2 linked regions of the Lonchura striata genome follow. The protein of the gene in region 2 purifies or fractionates together with the protein of the main gene of each other region. This does not show direct contact. Links are inferred from orthologs where the notes say so. Each region holds a gene or a part of one and is shown on either strand. Other genes may lie near its edges.

The links. The genes of interacting proteins can lie anywhere in the genome.
Region 1: the proteins of PHLPP1 (region 2) and AKT1 purify together in Homo sapiens (affinity purification with western blotting, with the first as the bait; 3 studies listed by BioGRID). This does not show direct contact. The link is inferred for Lonchura striata from reciprocal best matches to the Homo sapiens genes PHLPP1 and AKT1.

Annotation. Positions count from the first base shown.
Region 1 is NC_134608.1:8,656,893-8,666,582, reverse strand, and holds the start of AKT1 (RAC-alpha serine/threonine-protein kinase), read right to left. Parts: upstream 4,749-9,690; 5' UTR 4,649-4,748; intron 3,949-4,648; exon of another isoform or gene 3,930-3,948; intron 1-3,929. UniProt on the Homo sapiens protein: AKT1 is one of 3 closely related serine/threonine-protein kinases (AKT1, AKT2 and AKT3) called the AKT kinase, and which regulate many processes including metabolism, proliferation, cell survival, growth and angiogenesis.
Region 2 is NC_134603.1:96,722,084-96,731,833, forward strand, and holds the start of PHLPP1 (PH domain leucine-rich repeat-containing protein phosphatase 1), read right to left. Parts: upstream 4,163-9,750; coding exon 2,818-4,162; intron 1-2,817. UniProt on the Homo sapiens protein: Protein phosphatase involved in regulation of Akt and PKC signaling.

The DNA of each region.
Region 1 (9,690 bases), on a different chromosome or scaffold from region 2:
CCTTGGAACAAACTCCTTGAGCTCCAGAGCAATTAGGATGGAAACCTGACAAACACAGCATGCTCCTTCCTTTCAAAATGGCCATGGAAAATGCACAATAGCCATGCAAGCTAGACTTGCTTGCTGATGTCAAGAGGAGACTAGACCTCACTTAGAGGCTTGAGCAATTTGCAAAGTGTTGAACAAAACCCCCAAGATTATCACAGCTTGAGTATGGAAATGCAACACCCAGGTGTGAAAATTAACGCTTCTAACTTTGTGTCATACAGGGTGCAGGGACTGTGCAATCCTACCTCTGCATCCTGAACTCAACCATTTAGAGGCACTGAGCAATCAGTATCCTTTCCAACAACCATACATAAAAAAAAGGAAGCTACAAGACAAACTAGACTGTAGAAAGGGCAATACTGTTATTAAAAACATGCAAAAGGATGAAGGACCAGAATTCTCCAATCTGCAGCTAACTTACTCCCGTTTTTCCTGCGTTAACACTTGCCAGGATTACAACTTGGCAGCTTCCTGCTTGTCATCAGCTAAACTGTCATTTAATAATCCAAATTTGAATGACAACAGAGCCAAAAAAAGCAGATCAACTAAGAAATACAAAGTTCAGAGGGACTATTTTTTCTACTCTCTGTGGTGTCCAAGCAGCTTGGACTGCCTTTTCCCTACCATTCCTACCCAAGAAACATTTCCCACTTACTATTGAAGCCATGCTCTCAGGGATGTGTCTTTACCTGCCCTCCTCCTTTCAGGGGAGAGGGGTGGTGAAGGGGGCGGAGAGTTTTGTAAAGAAGCTGTGGCACAACAAAGTGGAAAAACATTAAACACTTCCTGACACCAACCTGCATCACGGGTCCCACCTCAGTCCTTCAGTCAGCCATGTCAGAGCACTTACTTCACATGGAGAAACTTAAGCTATTTTTAATTTGCAATGTGAAGAGCTGGGGATCCCTTCTCACTGTCTAACAAGATGTCCATAGGCACAGCTTCAGCAGCAGCAAAACTGCTCTATCTACTGTATTTTCAAACACATATTGAAGCTGTGTCTAATACATCTATTTTATAAGAGATGTTATTGAAGACAGTGGCAGCAAGCAAGAGTAATTTCTTGGAATAGAAGAGCAAGTTAACTATAGGTCAATGTACTACTGAAGATGTGTAAACCAGAAAAAGTTCCTTTTCCATAAAATCCTTAGAGGGAAAAAAAAAAAAAAAAAAAAAGAAAAGGAATGATTACAGTCCTCATTTATGGCCATCTAGGAATGGTTCCCAGTGAAGAGAGGGCATCTGAGGTAAGTATGACCTGGCTGCTCCAGTCTATGTCTGCACAGGACTGAATACTGTCAAAAGCTAAACAACCTGGTCTTTTTCTTAGTCTCCTCTTTGCTTGTTTTTCAGTACGCATTTCTGTAATACTTTTTTTAACACTGCAGTAGTCCTCATGCAGCTGAAGTGCTGTAAATCATGAATGGTATGACATCAGCATCGTATCATGGTGACACCAGTTTTGCGTACATATTAACTCCTTAAAGGTTATTAAGTTCTTCGTAAATAATGAGATAACTCACTTCTGTAGGCACTGGAGCAATTAAACCTGCTTTAAGGAATCAGTCAAACCAACCATCCAACAGAAGGTGGAGCAGAACCCCTTTTTCCGTATTTGGGAGAATTGTGTTAGAGCTCTTTCTCTCATTCTCTTCTATACATTATCCTCACCTTCTTTTTTCTCTAAGAAAGTAGAAATACAAATCTGTACTTCCTGTCCTCTTTTCAATGTAAAGTTTTGTATTTGTTTCCACTCATGCCCTAGAGCAGATCAGAAAGAAAAGGAAGTCTTCCATTAAGCTGAAGCTTAAGCTTACGGGATGCAGGAGCACCTATGGTAATCACCTCATCTTTATGAGGGAGAGTAAGCAAGGGACTAAAGGGAGACTGACCCACCAGCCTCAGTCCTGGCACATCAGACTGTTTCTGGGCTGCACTTGTTAGCCCAGATCACAAAGCAGATTACAAAAAAGCATTCCCCTGGGCTAACACTTTGCCCTGTCACACCACCAGTTACTGATGCCCACTGCCCTGGTGTGGCACATTCGTGATTCTCCCAGGACACTCTGAGCTCAAACATGCTACACATCCGTACACGTTCTCATAATGCACAGCAGCAGGACCAGGCAAAACGGAATCCAGCTACCCAAGTTTGCCTACTGTGGCCACATGACACTTTCATGAGAGCAGACAAGGTACACGAGCACTGGACTGGGCCAGGGCGGTGCGTTCAGGCCCGTTACACGGGATGCCACCAGCAACCTACTCTCTCCTCCCAGTGCTCCCAGCTGACAGCCAACGGCACCTAAACAGCACAGACACAACAAAGTTGGGCTCCAGCCAACATTTCAAGTGGAGCGTACAGATAGATGTTCCCACCAGGCTTTGACCAGTGAAGTACATCTCCCGCGTTACGCAAATCCTGCCCTGGCTGTTTCACAGGAGCAACAGTGATTCCAACGTGCTCAAGGCCCTCTGTGCCTGCAGCAGCTTTGCACCATGACCCAGTTACCAAATCTGGGCAGACAGCTTTCAAGGAAGCTTAGAAGGACCAGGTTGTGCCACCATCTTAGCTTCCCTTACAAAAAAGGCATTGTGGGCCACGACTTAGGTGTGGCCACCAGTATTTACTACTGTGCGCTGTGTGTGTCCAATGACACCACATCTAAGCTGGAATTTCATGGCAGCAAGTGCAGCAGATCACAAGGTTCGCAACGGATTCACAGATACTAAGTTATGGGGAAAATGGTAATTGGAAAACAAAAATCTCTACAGCCACATCTCACCCTTTTTTTTTTTTTTCTTTCAATCTATTAGCCTAATCTAGGTTTACAAAACAGTAATTTGAAATATTTGTGTTCTCCTGCCTCTGCTGATCAATAGACAGGAGGTTAACGCTGTTCAGGCGAGGGGCCACAGTTACGACATCCAACTGTCCATGCTGCAAACACAACAACAGTTTGATAGGACAAACTAAGCTACCTATTTCAAAACTGAGGGATGGCAGAAAAGTGACTTCTTCATAAGCCCCTCTGCAGCCCAGACAAAATCTTCTTTATGTTCCCAAACAAGAACAAGTCCTTTTACAGTTTATGCTCATATGATTTAAGAACTGTGCTGCTCAGAACTTCGCTGCCTACCTGAGATAGATTTAATCAAATTCCATTTTGAAGTATTTGTAATTGAAGTTTTGTTCAGTCCCCAAAGAAATCAAGACAGTTGTGTAACTATTTAATTGTTAATGTAATCACTTACAGGACATTTTCATAAGACTGTAAAGTGAACACTGGAGCTGAAAGTGAATTGTGGACACTGGATCAATTTTTAAATTTGATTTACCGCTGCTGCACACCAAAAACAGTTCTATAAACGCCACACACAACACAAACCCTATTATTTAAAAATATCAAAGGTAGTTCCACAGGGTCTTTAAATCTGCTAACTCAGACAAATGTTGTGGCTGTCACCATGAAACTACTACATGAAAGTAATTACTAGTCATGCAGTATGTCAAATTTATTTACCTGCAAACAAATACTCTTCAGCATTAAGTGTTAGTAACTCCCTTTTATAACTGTATTTTGAAATGTACGTCCCTCCTGTGGTATAAATAAAACAAACTAGCGCAAATCATTAATTTGCTTCTTACATGATAAAGGTGGTAGGAAAACAAAGCAAAACAGTTAAATATTTCCCAAAAGGGTGGCCGGGGAGGGGGGGCACACACCACCAATAAGGTGCAAGCTGTATCTGCATCACTAGCGTCCTGTCAGTAAAATAAATTGAAAGTACCAGAACGTTTATATGTTTGATTATGGGTTTTACAACGAAGCAGACACAAGTCCTACAAGTCTCTAAGAACATTTCGGCAGCTGCTTCACCTGGAGGGGTGGGGGGGAATTCGGCAGACAGCTCCCTACACCTCTGCAAAACACGACTGCAAAAAGAAAAAAAAAAAAAAAAAGAAAAAAAAAAAAAAAAGAAAAAAAAATTCAAGTCCACAAGCGCTGCACAGCCACCTACACACGCGAAATGCCCACGGAGGGAATCACAACCCCGTCGGCAAACACTCAGTGGTCCGCAAAGCGGAGCTGGGCTGAACAACGCGGCCGCAGAAGACAAGAGGAGAAAATGGGGGCGGGGGAGGTGGGAAAATGGGGGGCCCTCGGCTACTTTGCTCGCCGCTGTTTCACAAATAGCACAAACCACCCCCCAGCCGCCCCCACCGCCGCTTCCCCGGGGGATGCTCGCGCAGGGCCCGGGGCGGGGGCAGGCCCGGGAGGAGCCCCCCGCCCCGCCGCCCTCTCTCCCACCGCATCCCCGGGGAGCCAACAGCTTCCTGTCCGCCCCGGGCCGCCGGCAGGACCGACCGACCGGCCGGGGCGGCCGCAGCCCGGGCCTCCTCGCCCCCACCCCGCCTGGCCGTGCCCGGGGGCCGCGGGGGCAGCGCACACCCGGGGAAGGCGAAGGGAAAGCGGCCGCCCCCTTTCCCGGCCCTTCCCTTCCCTCCCGGCCCCGCACAATGCGGCCGCGCCGAGCAGGCCCCGGCCCCGGCGCTTCCTTCCCCCAGCCCTTCCCAGCCGGAGAGCGGGTCACTTACATGGCTGGAGCCCCGGAGGAGGCGGCGGCGGCGGCAGGGGAAGGGAGCTGGGGAGGGAGTCAGGGGAAGGGGAGGGAAGGGGGGAGCGAGCCAGCGAGCGAGCGAGCGGGGGAAGGGGGCGGCCGGCGAGGCGGGCGGGCTCTGCGGCGGGCGCCGAGCGAAGGCCTCACTGGGCTCCCGGCAGCCGCCGCCTCCTCCTCACCATCCCCGGGCGGCGGGGCGGCTCCTCCTCCCCCTCTCGCAGACGCTCGGCCCGTGGGGTTCGCACGCCCGCTCCGGCAGCCGGCTCGCCTTCCCCGCCGCTCCGCCCTGCGAGGCCGCCCCTCGCCTCTCTCCGCCGCCGCCTCCCCCCGCAGCCCCGGGCCCGCTGCCGCCGCCCGGGCCGGGCTCGTCCCGCGGCGCTCGCTCGCACCCTCCGCGGCGCGGCCGCCGGGCCCCGCCGCCGCCGCTTCCCGCCCGAGCCGAGGGGCCGCCCCGCTCGCTCAGCGCCGCTCCCCGGACGGGGCTCGCGGCCTCGCCACCCTCCGAGCTCCCGCAGCGCGGCGGAGCAGCGCCCGCCTGCCCGGCCCCTCCGCCCACCCGCCGGCCCGGCCCCAGGCCCCGGGGGCGGCGTTTCCTGGCCCCGGGCGGCTCCGTGTTCCCCCTTCCCCTGGCACCGGCCCGGCCTTGGGCCGGAGCGGTGGGGACGCTGTGCCCCGGGAGGGGAGGGACGAGGCTTCTCCTGACTCGGCCTGTGAGCCGGCTGCCTGGAGCATGGACAATTTCACAGAATCACAGAATCAATTAGGTTTGAAAAGACAGGTTAGCGAGTCCAAACTATGACCGATCGCCCCACGTCAACCAGACCATGGCGCTAAGTGCCGCTTCAGTCGTTCCTTAAACACCTCCAGGGACAGTGACTCCATCACCTCCCACTGGAATGGGCAGCCCATTCCAATGTCAAAACACCCTTCCTGTGAAGAATTTTTTGCTAATGTCCAGCCTAAACCTTTCTCGGTGCAGCATAAGACTGTGTTCTCTGGTCCTGTCATTGATTGTCCGGGAAGAGACTGAGCTCCACCTGCCTACACCCTCCTGTCAGGGAGTTCTGTAGAATTATAAGATCCTCTTTGAGCCTCCTTTTTTTCCAGGCTAAAAACCCTCAGCTCTTTCAGCTGTTCCTTGTAAGACTTTTTCTCCAGGCCCTTCACCAGATTAGTGCCCTTCTCTGGACAAAGGGCATCCCCAAAAATGAGGCATCCTGCCCCACATAGGTGAGAGGCTCAGGCAGCCCCAGCATTTTAGACTCTAGGAAGGGCCAGGCTCCTTTAAACCTCTTGGGGTGCTTCCAGCAAGCTTCCCCAAAAGCATGGGATGCCAGTTCTGCTTCTCTGCCCTCAGAGTTTTCCCTTACAGTATTCCTATAATATACCAGATGATTAAATAACGAGGTACCAGAGTACCTGGGAGGATGCTCAGTATCCCTTTCCACATTGGACAGGCTGCATTAAGGAATTGCCCATGGAGGGGCTGGGGTAGTGATTCTGGATGTTGCACTCGAGGCCATCCTGCTTTCACAGTAGGAATGGCTCAAAACATGACAAATTGCTTAAACTATTGCTTACAGCATGACAATATTTTTGGTAAGGTTTTTGAGAGCCATTCTGCTCTAAAAACAATGCTGTGGAAACCCCTATGACAGATTAACATTTCTCTGCCCTTCCACTATCAAAATTTGTCTTCTTCGGTCATTAAGAGATCTTGCTTATTCTCAAATTGACAGTGCCATAAACGTTAACTGGGTTGTAAGAACTGATTGGATTTCTTCAGAAACATACGATCACTGATGATCACATTTCTGCAATCCGAAGCTGGCTGGAATTTAGGAAACGGCACATCTTCCCACAGCTATGCACCGTTGGCAATATAAAAGTGCATAAAACGCATTTACAGCAGTAAAGCTAGGGAATACAGCTCTGCCTTTACAAACTTATTGGATATAATAAGAGGCTTTTTTACCACATCATTTTGACGATTGTAAATGTTTATTGAAATTCACTTTCTTCTTCCGTTTTGATCAGCTAGGTCTGACTGATCATATCTGTAATCAGGGTTACCGAGTGTCAAATGGATTCCTGGATTTTGGGTACGCTGGTGTGCTAGAGGAGCCAACGATAAGGCAGAGGAGAAATGTTTCCCATTTCTTCATGGAGGGTGAAGAAAGAGTAATGCCTCCTTTCCCACCAATGTACAGAGTAGTTCCTGCTGGCAGAGCAGCTACGCCAGTGTGGGATTTTCTGTGTGTCACCTTTAGGTTTACTGGGGCATATTTCAGCACAATTTTAAAAATGTACAATTCAGGTACTTTAGCAGAGTAAGCAGGCCCCGTGGTACTGGCCCAGTTACCCAGGGCAGAATTGAATGGCTGTGGGAACTCTCTAAGATGTAAAGCTAATGGAAAGGAAAAATCTGGGTTTGTGATCACATTTTGACCTACCATGCATTACTTACAAAATACGTAGTGTGTATTAAAATGTAGGTAGTCCTTAAAGATGTATTTAAAATTAAATTCATCATCAGTGTGGAAAACTTGCGGGCAGCTCAGAGGACATGTATTTTCCTTAACAAAAACACGGACAAAATTAATTTATCAACTAATTTTGAGTCTTCAGGCTGTAGTTACATCTAGAAGTAAAGAGTGCATGTAAGTATAGGAGTTCACTGGCTGTGAGACAGTGGGGGCAGGGGGATCTCTGGTAATAGATCTGATTTCAGGAGAGCTTTCTCACCTTCCTGACAAACCCTCTCCTGATTGATAAGCTCCCAGGCTTCGTGGTGAGCAAGGTCATTAGGACTTCCCCCTGCAAATGAAGCAGCAGTTTAAAAAATAAGATCACAGAGTAAACAGTTTTCTGTCCTGAAGAGAAGAAAATAAACGTCCGTTGTTTGCTAGAAAGGAAGTACAATTAAAAAAACCCTCCAGATTTCAACATGAACATATTGTTTAGATTTGCCGACTGTTGATTTACCATGATGAAAGACAGGCCCAAACTAGAAAGTTTGGATCCCGATCTGGATCTGACATTCCCCAAATCTGAGAGGGAAGTGTGATTCAGAGTCTGGAGTAAGGGCTTATCTCTCAAACACAGCAAAGTACTGTGGATAAAAATACCCAGGTAAAGTAGGAAGTGCCTGGTCTGCAACAACAAGAGTGACTTTGTATCAACAATGAACAAAAGCAGCTTTTTTTTTTTCTTTGAGAACAATGAAATCACTCAAGAATTGTTATAAATACAAACAATGTGGGTTTTATCACTCAGCTATCATCAGTGGGATTATAGTCTATAAACCCTAATTTTCAGGGAAGTCCCTAGATTCCCTGAGCGCTTCTTCAAATTTCACATCTGTTAACTCTAGTTTATTAAGTGCTTCAGGATAAGATGCATCAACTGAGCCTTGGTATTACATTACCCAAAAATACTGAATGTAGGATTTAGTGGCAAAGAATGGATGATTTCCAGACAGTGTATTGATACCACGCCAAAAGAGCAGGCACTCCTGTTCCCACCCATTTTTAACACATATATAGGTAACAATTAATTCAGTATCACTTTTAAAAATTATTTCTAAATTTTTAAATTATGAAACTTTGGATAAAAATACAGTCAGGCATTAGAAGAAAGATTAGAATGGTAAGATGAAGTGGAATTACTGAGTTAACCCCCAGTAGAACAAGCTCTGTTCCATGATTCAAGTAATGACAGCACCTCTGTGGGCCAACAGTGAATTTGTTCCTCCCTTTTTAAAAGGTGGGCTGTACTCAGAGGAAAAAACTGTATGACATCTTATTAGGATCACAGAGCTGGTATCTCAGTCTAGGCATTAATAGCTTTTAAACAAACAACACAGTTTTGGTCTCAGTGAAGAATCTAGCTCAATATAAATAGAAATTAGAAGTGCTTTTCACAGTGCCAAATATAATAAACATACTTGTGCTTCTAAAACTTAACTAATCCAATGTTTGAAGGTGTATTTCTCAATAGCAAAACAATAGCAGGCTCTCTGGAAAAAAATAATAAATATAGTCATGCTGAAACATTGTGCATTTGCTTTATAGAAATTCATCTGGAGACTAAATAGATGTATGAGTTCGTCTGTAATTCTCCAATTAATTTCCTACAAAACTGCTATCATCTGAACTGGTAACATTGCTGGAGAGCAGCACTGAATGAGGCCTTGCTGCTCTTCCTCATGGCTTGCTGAAAGTCCTAGAATAGGCTGGACAGGAGACCTTGCTGTGGTTTCCTGCCTCTGTTCCTGGGATGCTAAAGCCAGACAGCCCTAGGATGGCAGGGTGTCACTGCTGTTAACTCCCAAGTGAGAGCAGTACACTCCTCTTCACCAGGAATAATGATAGCCATGACAAGGGGCAGATATGCTGTGGGGAGTTTGATACGTAAACAGGAACCCAAGTGGTTTGCATAGAAGATTCACTAAATAAAGCATGCAAAAATAGCAGATATTCAGTTCTATGCCATACCCCACTGCAATAACCACGACTCTCAGTCTGGACTAGGCACCGTTTGGTGCTGTAGGCTCATCAGAAGACTTGGGCTTTGATCCTAAGGGACTGAAGTCTGCTTCAAACTGCTGGTTTTCTCCCTTCCTTGTAAAGTGACTTGTCATGAATTCTTAGATCAGGAAAGATACCCAAAAAAGCTAAACTCCAATGATCTGTGTGAGAGAACATCACGATCTTAACTATAGTCAGGTAGGCAAATCCTCTGAGACTGAAGTACTGACATTATAGGCACATACTAAAATAAAAGCCAAAAACTTTCAGGTTCCTGTTGCATTCCCAACACTCACACACCCAGTGCTGATTATGTTCTTCACCTAAAATTACAGAGCTAAGCACAATGTGGGCATATTAACCTGGGGGCTATTTCAGTGGTTGATTACCCCTGCAGATCCCCACATACAGATCTCTGTCAAAGGAGCAGCAGCCACTCTGCTGGATGGGCACAGGCTCAGCAGTGGGTTCTTGGAGCACTGGTTCTGGC
Region 2 (9,750 bases):
GTTTTGTCATAGCAGAAAAATCTGAATCTCTGCAGTTTTCCTACCAATAATTTTTTAATCTCTGTTTTCCAGATCCCACAACAGGAAAAATTACCAGCCTACAGCAATCACTAAAACTATTTGCTATATTGTCTTATGTGGAATTTGTAATGGCAAGTTTCAATACAGTCGTCTTCCAGTCTTAAAACTGTCTCTCCTCAAAAATAAAAAAAAAAACAAAAACCAAAGTCATCACTTTGCTCTCTTCTCCTCTCCCTACTCCAGGGGGATTAGGTGAAAGAATTCCTTTTAGAAGCAATGCAATAGATCCAACCTAGGTTTGTATAATTTCACATCAGCAAAAGACAAGTATCACCAAATCCTACTGAGATAGCTTGCAGGAAATTACAGGCATAGAGATGCTAGTGGTTCTCTATCCACTGGGACAAGCCAGGCCACTTAAATCAACAAAGTCTTAGGCAAACAGGAAATCACTGTTTTAAAGCTTTCCTTAGGGTATGATGCTAGAGGATCATTTATTAAAAAGGTATTTCTCCAAAGCAAAACACTTAACTTTGAGGCCAAAAAAAATCGCTCCCCTTTCCAGTGTAATTTGATGTGTATTCTTTTTAAGTGTCTCTCCTTCCCTCTCTTTCATCTTTGGGTTGTGTTTGTATAAAATAAGGAAGCAGAGATAACTTGCCAAGACAGTTACATAAAATCAGTATAATTACGTGTCAGTAATATTTTCTTAGCTGTTTTTGGCTGGCCTGGTACATTAGGTGCTGCAACCTTTCTGTTACAAGCACCTGATCACAGGTGTTTTAGATGTTGATCACAGATTCCCTCAAAGAGATAAGGATTTCAAAAAGCGCTGCACTTTTGAAGTAGAGGCATACTTGTTAGCATATGAACTTGCATAAGAAATTTGCATTAATTTAATCCTATGTATGTTCACAGAAATATCCTTCTATCCAGTAGTTTTGTACAAGGAAGCCTAAAATGTACAAGCTACATTAGCAGTCAAGTTGAGACACTGAAATAAAACAAAGTTGGAACATCCTCATTTAGCATGTATAATTAATCACTTAATGCATTAAAACTACATGCAAACAGGTTTAACTGTGTGTAAGACTTCACTATGCTTCCTGATTGTGTTTTCTTTAGAACACATCCTGTTAAAAAAGGAGGCACACAGCTGTCCCAATTTAAAACACGTGTGTGCATCCCCATTTAATGGTGGGGTGGGAAATAAAGGAAGCAATCCCTCCCAGCATCACCTGCTGACTTCCATCCTCAAGAGCAGGCAAAGAAACACAAAAGACCACAATCATGTCTGAAAAAAAAAGTAAGAAAGCTACTTTCTAACCCACATGCATCTAACCTATTTCTGTCAACTCCCTTAACAAATACTACTTATGCCAGGGTCATTGTACAATCAGAAAAATCTGAAGAAAAGCTGAATTGACCACTTGCCACCACTCCCACATTCTCTTCAGAATAAAAAAGGGCACTTATCCAGCTTACTGTTCTCCTTCCCACCCCACCATTACCAACTCCATTTGACATTCAGTGGAATTCACTCGAGAAAAGAATCTCTGTATCTTTCAGCGTTAAAGCACTGAATTCTCACGGTTCATTGAAGGACCATCCTGCTCAGCCAAACCAGCAAGGGGACGGAAGGCATGTGCTACTTTGCTAGCATGACCTCATCTCGGGATATCACATTTACCTGTTTCACAGGAAAACTTAAAAGGTAGCTGAATGCATATTTGGACATTAAAGAATGTTTTCTTTTTGAGGAGATGTATAAGACAGCTAAAATCCAAGAAGTTCTGAGATTACAGTAAGTCTTTGACACAAACCAACTCAACTGACACACAAGGTATTTTTAAACCTCCCTAAAACTGCAGAAGGTTGCATAATTACAACGTGGGAGCTAACTTTTCCACCCAACATTCTCCAAATTCTGTATTGTATGTTGTAGCAGCAAAGCTGCATTACGAAGCTTCTCCCTTTTCATTACAAAGGTTTTGACCACCCCGCTTCCAAAGACCACGACCTGTGCTTCCCTACTTCTCTCGCTCACTGCCCTCAGTCTCTCAGTGAAGTCCCATCACTCTAACGGGAAAAACTGATGCCAACAACGCAGAAAGCCAAGCGCAGGATTTTGTTTGCAGGAATGCACCGCGGTAACCTATTTCAGGAGCAAGAACTGCGGGGCTTCCCTCTTGGGAGCGAGCCGGCCGTGCCCTCGGCTCCGCGATGGGGCGGGCTGGGTGTTCCCCGGAGCGAGCACACAGCTCCACTAAACCGTGAGCCAGCTGCCGGCATCCCGCAAACACTTGGAACGAACCTTCGACCTCCCGCGCCCGGCAGCGGCACCGATACAATTCCTCGTCACTAAGGAAAGCAGTAGTAGATCAAGGCTGATTTAACCTCGAACGCCCAGTGCCGCTGCTAGGAACGGGAAAACAACATCAGCGCGACCTCCATTACCGAAGCGCTGAAGGAAGGGGAGGCTGCCCCGGGCACAGCACTGGAGCAGCGTGAGCGCCGCTGACACCGCGGCTTCTCCCGGCGGCCGGCTCGGGGCAGCGCTTCCCGCCGCCGCCGGGGACCTCCCGGCACGGCCCCTCCCAGGCGCGGCGCGGAGACACCCGCGGGCCGCCTTCCCCGCGACAGGGGACGGCCCCGGGCCGCCTTCCCCGCGACAGCCCGGCGGAGGAGCAGCGCCCAGCCGCCCGCACGCCCTCCGCTCACCGCGGCGCCCCACCAGCTGGGGCGGTGGGCGCGGCTCCCGCCCCTTCCCCACGCTCGCCCCCCGGCCCCGCTCACCGGCGTAGAAGCGGATGAGGCAGCCGGTCTCCGAGTCCATGCCCTCCTCCTGCACCCGCCACAGGTCCCGGAAGCCCAGCTGGGAGAGGTAGTCGTTCTGGATCTGCAGCGGCTTCTCGTGGGCCTCCAGCCGCCGGCTGGTCTCCCCGTGCAGCTGTACATACAGGGCGGGCGGCCCCGCTGGCTGCTCCCGCCCGCCGGCCGCGCCCGCCGGCACCCCCCCTGCCCGCCCCGGGGACAGCTCCCCCGGGCAGGGGGGGCCCCGGCCCGGCTCCGCACCTGCTTCTTCCACCCCGTCGGGGGGCGCCGGCTCCACCTCCAGCTCGTCCGAAGAGGACGAGCCACCGCCGCCGCCGCTGCTGTAGGGGTCCAGCCGGTCGGAGACGCTCTCGGCGCTGGGGCTGAAGCTCTCGGTGTCGGAGCCGGTCGGCCCCAGCTCCCCCAGCAGGGAGGGGCAGGAAAGCGGCGGCCCGGCAAGGTACAGTTCGGCCGGGAGCGCCCCGGGGCTAAAGTCGGAGGGCGCCGGGCTCGGCCGGCCGCCGGCCAAGTCGTTCTCCTCGGCGCCGCTGCACAGCGGCAGGCGGTCGGGCCGCGCCGCTTCCCCGCAGCCGCCTCCGGACAGCCCGCTCCGCGTCCCCCGCCGGCTCCTGGGCTTCTCGTCCGGCTGCGGCCGCAGCCCCTCGGCCGCGGGCTCGGGCGGCGCCTCGGCGGGGCCCGCCGGCGGCTCGGGCTGCGGCGGCGGCGCGCCCGCCTTGCCCAGCACTCGCACCACGCTGCTGCCGCCCCGGTGGCCGAGCTGCTGCAGCCGGGCGGCCACCTCGGCCGCCGTGGTCTCCAGGGTGCAGAGCACCGGGCGCAGGTAGCAGTTCATGTGCCGCTCGTAGACGTGGACGCAGCCCCGCTGCAGGTCCCGCCGCACCCAGTCCCGCTCCGGGGGCTGCAGGGGCTGCAGCTGCCGGGGCGGCTTCAGCAGCAGCAGCGCCTTCCTGTCCAAGCTGCGGGTGCCCAGCGAGGGGGCCGGAGCGCCGCCGGCAGAGGGGGAGGCGGCGGAGAGGTTCCTCTTCAACCTCCCCCGCCGCAGGAGCAGGGAGTTAGCGCTGCCGGCCCCGCCGGGGGCCGCCGGAGTCCCGCTGGCCGCCAGTGCCGCGGGAGGAGCGAAGCCGCCGGCTCCCCCTCGCCTCCGCCGCGGGCCGCCGGCTGCTTTGCCGTCCAGCTGCCCGCCACCGCCCGACGGCTCCGCGCCGCTGTCCGCCTGACTCCTCCTGCCCGGGGAGCCGCTCTCCGGCTCCCCCCGCCCGCTTCCCGCCGCCGGGGCTTCTGCCGCTCGCTGCTGCGCGGGCTCCATCGCCGCGGGGCCGGGGATGCCGCCGCCGCCGCCCTGCTGGGAGCGCCGCTCGGCGCGGCGCGGGGGGGCCGAACGGAGCGCGGCGCCGCGTCCCGGGGGTGGGGGGGGATTACGTAGCAGCCGCGGGAAGCATTCCGCCGGTGCCTGGCTCAGTCCCGCTGCCCGGCTGTCGCCAGCGCCATTAAGGAGGGGGGCCGGCAGGCGAGGAGCGAGCGATCCCGCCGCCGTCCGCCGCTCCCCGCGCGCGCGCGGCTCATGAATATTAACCAGCCCACGGGGAGCGAAGGAGGCTCGCGAGGGTGACGCCACCGCTCGCGCGGCGGGGCGGGGCCTCGCCCATAAACACAGCGTGACTCCCAGCCGGCCCGGGCGGCGCGCGGGGGCCGCTGGGAGCTGTAGTCCCGCGGCGGCCGCGAGTCCCGGCAGCCCCGCGGCTCCCGCCGGCCCCGGGGCCGCGCAGGCTCCGGGCGGGGGGCCGGAGCTCCCTCACGGCACGGCGCGGGGCTGAATCCGTGTTAAAATTATTCCAGGACTGTGTCCCGCGCTCCGTGTTCGTGTTCCCTAGGTCCGGTCGGAGGGTCTGGCGGGCCCGGTGACCGCGCTCGCCGCGCTCTGCCCAGTCGGAGGCGTTCTCCCCGCTGGCTGCCGCGGCGCAGAACCCGAGCTCTGAGCCCTGGCAGCCTTCCCCTCTGAGGAGGGAGATGGTGTTTCCAGATCCAAGATGGAGAGGGACATGGAAATGTGGGTGGAAACATGTATGTGTATATACGCGCACATACCGCAAGAAGAGCTGTTTTGTGAATAGGCGCAGAGAAGGTTTCAGTACCTTTAGCCTGTCACTGCATTTCAGGGACCAAACTTACCTAAGATGCCTACTTGTAGAAGATCGCTGAGAAGTAGCAATTAAATAGAAACATTTTTTTCAAAAAAACATGTCCCATGATTTAAAACAAATTACTGAAAAGGAAAATCTGATGCATTCGATTAGCATTGTAAACGTGTGAGTTTTTATACTGCAAGGACACCATACTGTGGAATTCAGAGAAATCTCTTACGGTCGTGGAGATGTTTTAGCTGAGTAATGCAGGCTGGATAGGGTTGTAACTGCCTGAGATCTCTCCTTTTTAATACATTTTGTAAAATCACAGCGAAGCATTGTGCCAGATACTCATGAAAAACGCAGTAGACTGCAATAAACTGGGAGTTCCGGGCAATTGACCAGTTATGTCAATATTAGGGGAGATAAATCATCACTAAGAATCCTGAGATAAACTCTTAGTGAAACATTATTTTTAGCTGGTCAGTCTTTTTAGTGCACTCGTGTAACATATGAACCCCAAAATAAACCACAGCCATAATAAAATTAAGGTTTACTTCTCCTAATAAAACATTTCTCCACAGTTCCACATTACTGTGTTCATACCACATAGAAGCAGATGAAACAGGGCACAGCAAAAAAACTTACAATGCAACCATGTAGCTGCCTTTTTAAAGTTTTTTTTAATAACAAAGCTGAGTTTACTGTGTGTGAAAACCACCCACTTTCTGAACAGAACAATCTGAAAATTAACTGTTCCGATTGTGGAGTTTGTGTCGAGCTGTATCTAGAGTTGCAATCACCAGTAGGATCTTCTTTGGAATTCAAGAACACAAGCTGACAGAAGATGACAGCAGCACTTGGCCATTAAAGACTTTAAAGGTCAGAACTGAGCAGATGAGCTTTGGTTCTGGCTGTTTGTTGTATTCTGATTTGTTTCTGCTGCTTTGCTACCTACTTCACAGAGTCCCCCCCCAATTTAAATGTGTTAGGGAAATGTTCAACATGCAAACACACACACACACACACAAAGACACACACACTCAGAAGGAGACAGCAAGCTCTAGGGACATTATTGTTAATGATGGTACTTGAAATGTTTTTAGCAAACAGTTTCCAGGCCTTCTCTTCTTTGCTAGGAGTGGCAGGAGAGATCTGCCTTTCTCGAAGTGTTCAAATACCTGAATGTTCATCCACACACAGAAAAAGTCCAGAACACAGAACCAAAAGATATCTCTTGGGGCTTCCAGTGTTGTCCCTTGTGGGTGGAGATGCCACATCCTACATGTTAGTGAGGTCCCCCTAACGCAGCAGATAAACAAGCTGAACATCAGTTTGAACTGAGCTCAGCTGATTTGTCCTCTGCCCTAACTGAAGACTGCCCCAGGGTCATCCTGGTCCTCCCTGTTGGGACATCCCTTCCAATTTTCGGCCTGAATTTTACACCTGGGTAGCCTATGCACATTTGCTCATATGCCAGCTTTGCACTGCCCTTTGACTCAAATAGCTGTGGGTTTTTTGTTTTTTTTAGCTCCAGAGCCTCTACCCCGAGGTGCTTAGAAGCAGCAACAGTATTCCCTGGCAGGCTTTGTTTTCTCTCTTGGGTAGACATAAACACACTCTTGTTGTGTCCTCTGAGGAGATAAATCCCACAGTGTAGGAACACACAGTTAAGGTCATTTGGACAGCTTTGGAGCAGATCCTCCATGGGTTGGACTGGTATGGCCCCAGCTCTGGATTTTCTCTGCGAGTCCACACGGAGCAGCCGCCGTCTGCGATACAACTCAGAGAAGTGGCTGGGGACTGAGCTGACCTCACTCTCCCTCTTGCCAGCAGCTCTGGCAATTCACCTCTGCCAGCAGCCCCACTCATAAATGGTTTATGCAATTAAAAACAAAGTAGCTGTACTAAAGTCCAGAGGGAGTGGGGAAGTTGTTGGATTTATCTCTGCCCCATGGAATTTGTTCAGGAGCAGAAGTTTGCAATGAGCTCCTGGCATCCTATGAGCCCTGAGTTGAGCTGTGAGAAGAAAAAGGAGCGTGTGGTCGATTTTCATGCTTTGCTGAATATGAAGGTGCAGTAGCTGTAGCGGCCTAGCACCTCCAAATGTTAGCAGTACCCAGCCTGATTATTTTTGCATTGTGCAGGGAAGTGTGCCTGAAATCTTTAAATTTCATATGTAAATTGAACTCTCCAGCTTATAAGAAAGCTCTGCTATTTTCCATTTCCCGGTATCTCATATATACTCTTAAACTCTCTTGAAATTTTGAATTTTGATAGGGATTAACTGGTGTTCTCAGACATGGGAATGGGGTTTGTGAAATTGATGTTTGACAGGAGGAAGTGGAAGGGTGAAACACACATTTCCCTTTTCCAAAGTTGGATTGATGACAGCTGTTTGGGAGACAGGTAAAATGAAACAGGGTGGTTTGCAGTCTGCAGTTTTCTGACTGGACTCAGATGATCTTGAGGAGGAGTATTCTGATTACAGGAGCTGGCAACAAAAAATGAGGGAATAAAAAGTAATTTATCTGAGATTACTAGAAATTACTCCATACCAACACTTTTTATACTGAATGAACAAATTATACACTCTCACACATAAGTGCAGGGAAATGCTGGAAGGTCTTGAAACCACAAGAAGACTTTTGAGCACAGTGTTACATCCAGAGTTACCAGACCTTATCTGAAATCCTCACAGAGGCTGGAGCTGTTGTGATCTTCACTGTCTACATTTGTGCTGGCAGCTGCTACAGCTACAGCAGGAGGCATGAGACTGCATACACATTCCTGGAGCTGACTGAGTAACTGCAGAGGTACTTGGAGTGTGTTAATTCTTGCTCAGCCTCTTCTGAAATCTGCCTTCCCCAATTCGCACAGATTCCTTTAAAGCCCTCGGGGATACACTGTGCTGTTATTAGATGTTTCTGCAAGGGAAGGGACAGATTATGGGCATCAGCTAGTGTCTGTGGTTTTCCTTACTCTTTCATTATGAATACAGAAAAAAGGAGAAGGTCCATCTTATATTGCTGCTGGTTCTGTTCTTTGTAAGCATTATACCCCTTCATTTCTGATAACATCTTGGTTTAGCTACAGTTAATATTTTGCCAGACAATTCTTATTTGTTCTGTCTAATTTTTCAGAAATGTCTTCTGCAGGGGGATAGTAAGCAGCTTTTGTAGACTCAGTTTTACCATGATCTATACTCAAAAGGATTGTTTTTAGTTAAATCAAATACACAGTGAATACCGACTTTCAGTTTTGTTTTCAAAGATATCATTGCAAAATAATATGTCATCATTAAATAGGAATTGCTTAATCCCCAGTCCCTGACTACAGAAAAATTGACTGACAAGTCAGTTCTGGATCAAAAGCTGAGTGCTGAGAAATGCTAGTGTGGGAAAGATTATATTTATACTTTCTCTGCTATAAGTCATCTTCAATGATGCTGCTAAATGTTCATCTGTGTTTCAAAAAGGTGTGAATCACTTTAGTGATTCCAGTTAACAAGTGAAGGTGGAAAGAGAGCTTAGAAAGAAAGAATTTAATGTCCTTCAACCCTGAAAAGTGTTAGGGAGCTTACTCAGCTCTCTTCTTTAGTAGCCTGTTTTTGTACAGATAACAAAGCAAGAGACTTATTTCAATGTCAAAATGCTGAAACAAAAGACGTTTGCCACTGTATGTGTAATTCATAGACCAGGAGATGGATAAGCGAAGGGACCATTTCAAATTAAACAATGTAGTAAGAATACCCTTTTTTCTAAAGAGAAATTGAATGTTATCATATGGAAACTGTTCTCAAAATAATATTTTATCATTATTTCGATTAATTTCATTTTCCAAAATACTAGGTGTGCACTTGTGCCCCTCATTCATATTTGCAATTGCCACAGCTATAGGTACAAATTGTATATACAGATAACAAGGAACTGAAATTTCCAGCTGTGAACATGAGCACGATAGTGTGTGTATGTTCCATAGCAGTTGTGCTCATCTTGGCATGTAAGGCTTTCAGTGTAGTAAAGCATTTAAAATGGTGCTTATTTAGAGAAATGTTTACTTTTTAAAGTGTTCTTATATCGAGGATATGATTAAGAACTATTCTTGAACAGGTGAGTTTGCATTACTCAATGCTTGAAATAAAAGTTAGAGGCTGTAAGTGATCTTAGAGTTGCCCTTTTGTTTAAATATTCAGTAACACTGGATTCTTATGACCCAGGAGGTTATTTGTACCTACAGCTCCCTAAATAATTTTCAGCAAGGTTTGATCTGTGTTTCTGGTTCCAAAACCACTTCCATACAAGTAATATCAACACTACTACATGTTCTTCAGCAGTGCACTTCAAAGTGTATTACAAACGAGAGTAAGTATAAATATTTTCATAATACAAAGAGAGAAGAAAAGAGGCAAGAACCTTCTTGGCTGCACATTAGACTCCTCTAAAGGTGATAGACACAAGTCAGGTCCTCATGTTCTGAAAGTGAAGTACCAGGCTGTGAAACTTCCTTCTTGGTAAGCTGCAGTCATGTCCCAGCTCCCTCTGGGCGGGTGCAGAATCCAGCTGTGAGGTTGTTCAAGTGACAGTGATTCTCACTTATAGTACTTGGCCACTTGAACTTCAGTTTCTTGTAGAGCTAACCTGTATTGCTTTCAGCTAGGCGGGGTTTTCCTAAGCCAGCGGCAGCGGCGTGGTGTGGAGATCCTTTGATTACACAAATGTTTCCCGTTGTGACATGCACAGGCTGGGCTCTGTTAACATTGCAGTTAAAC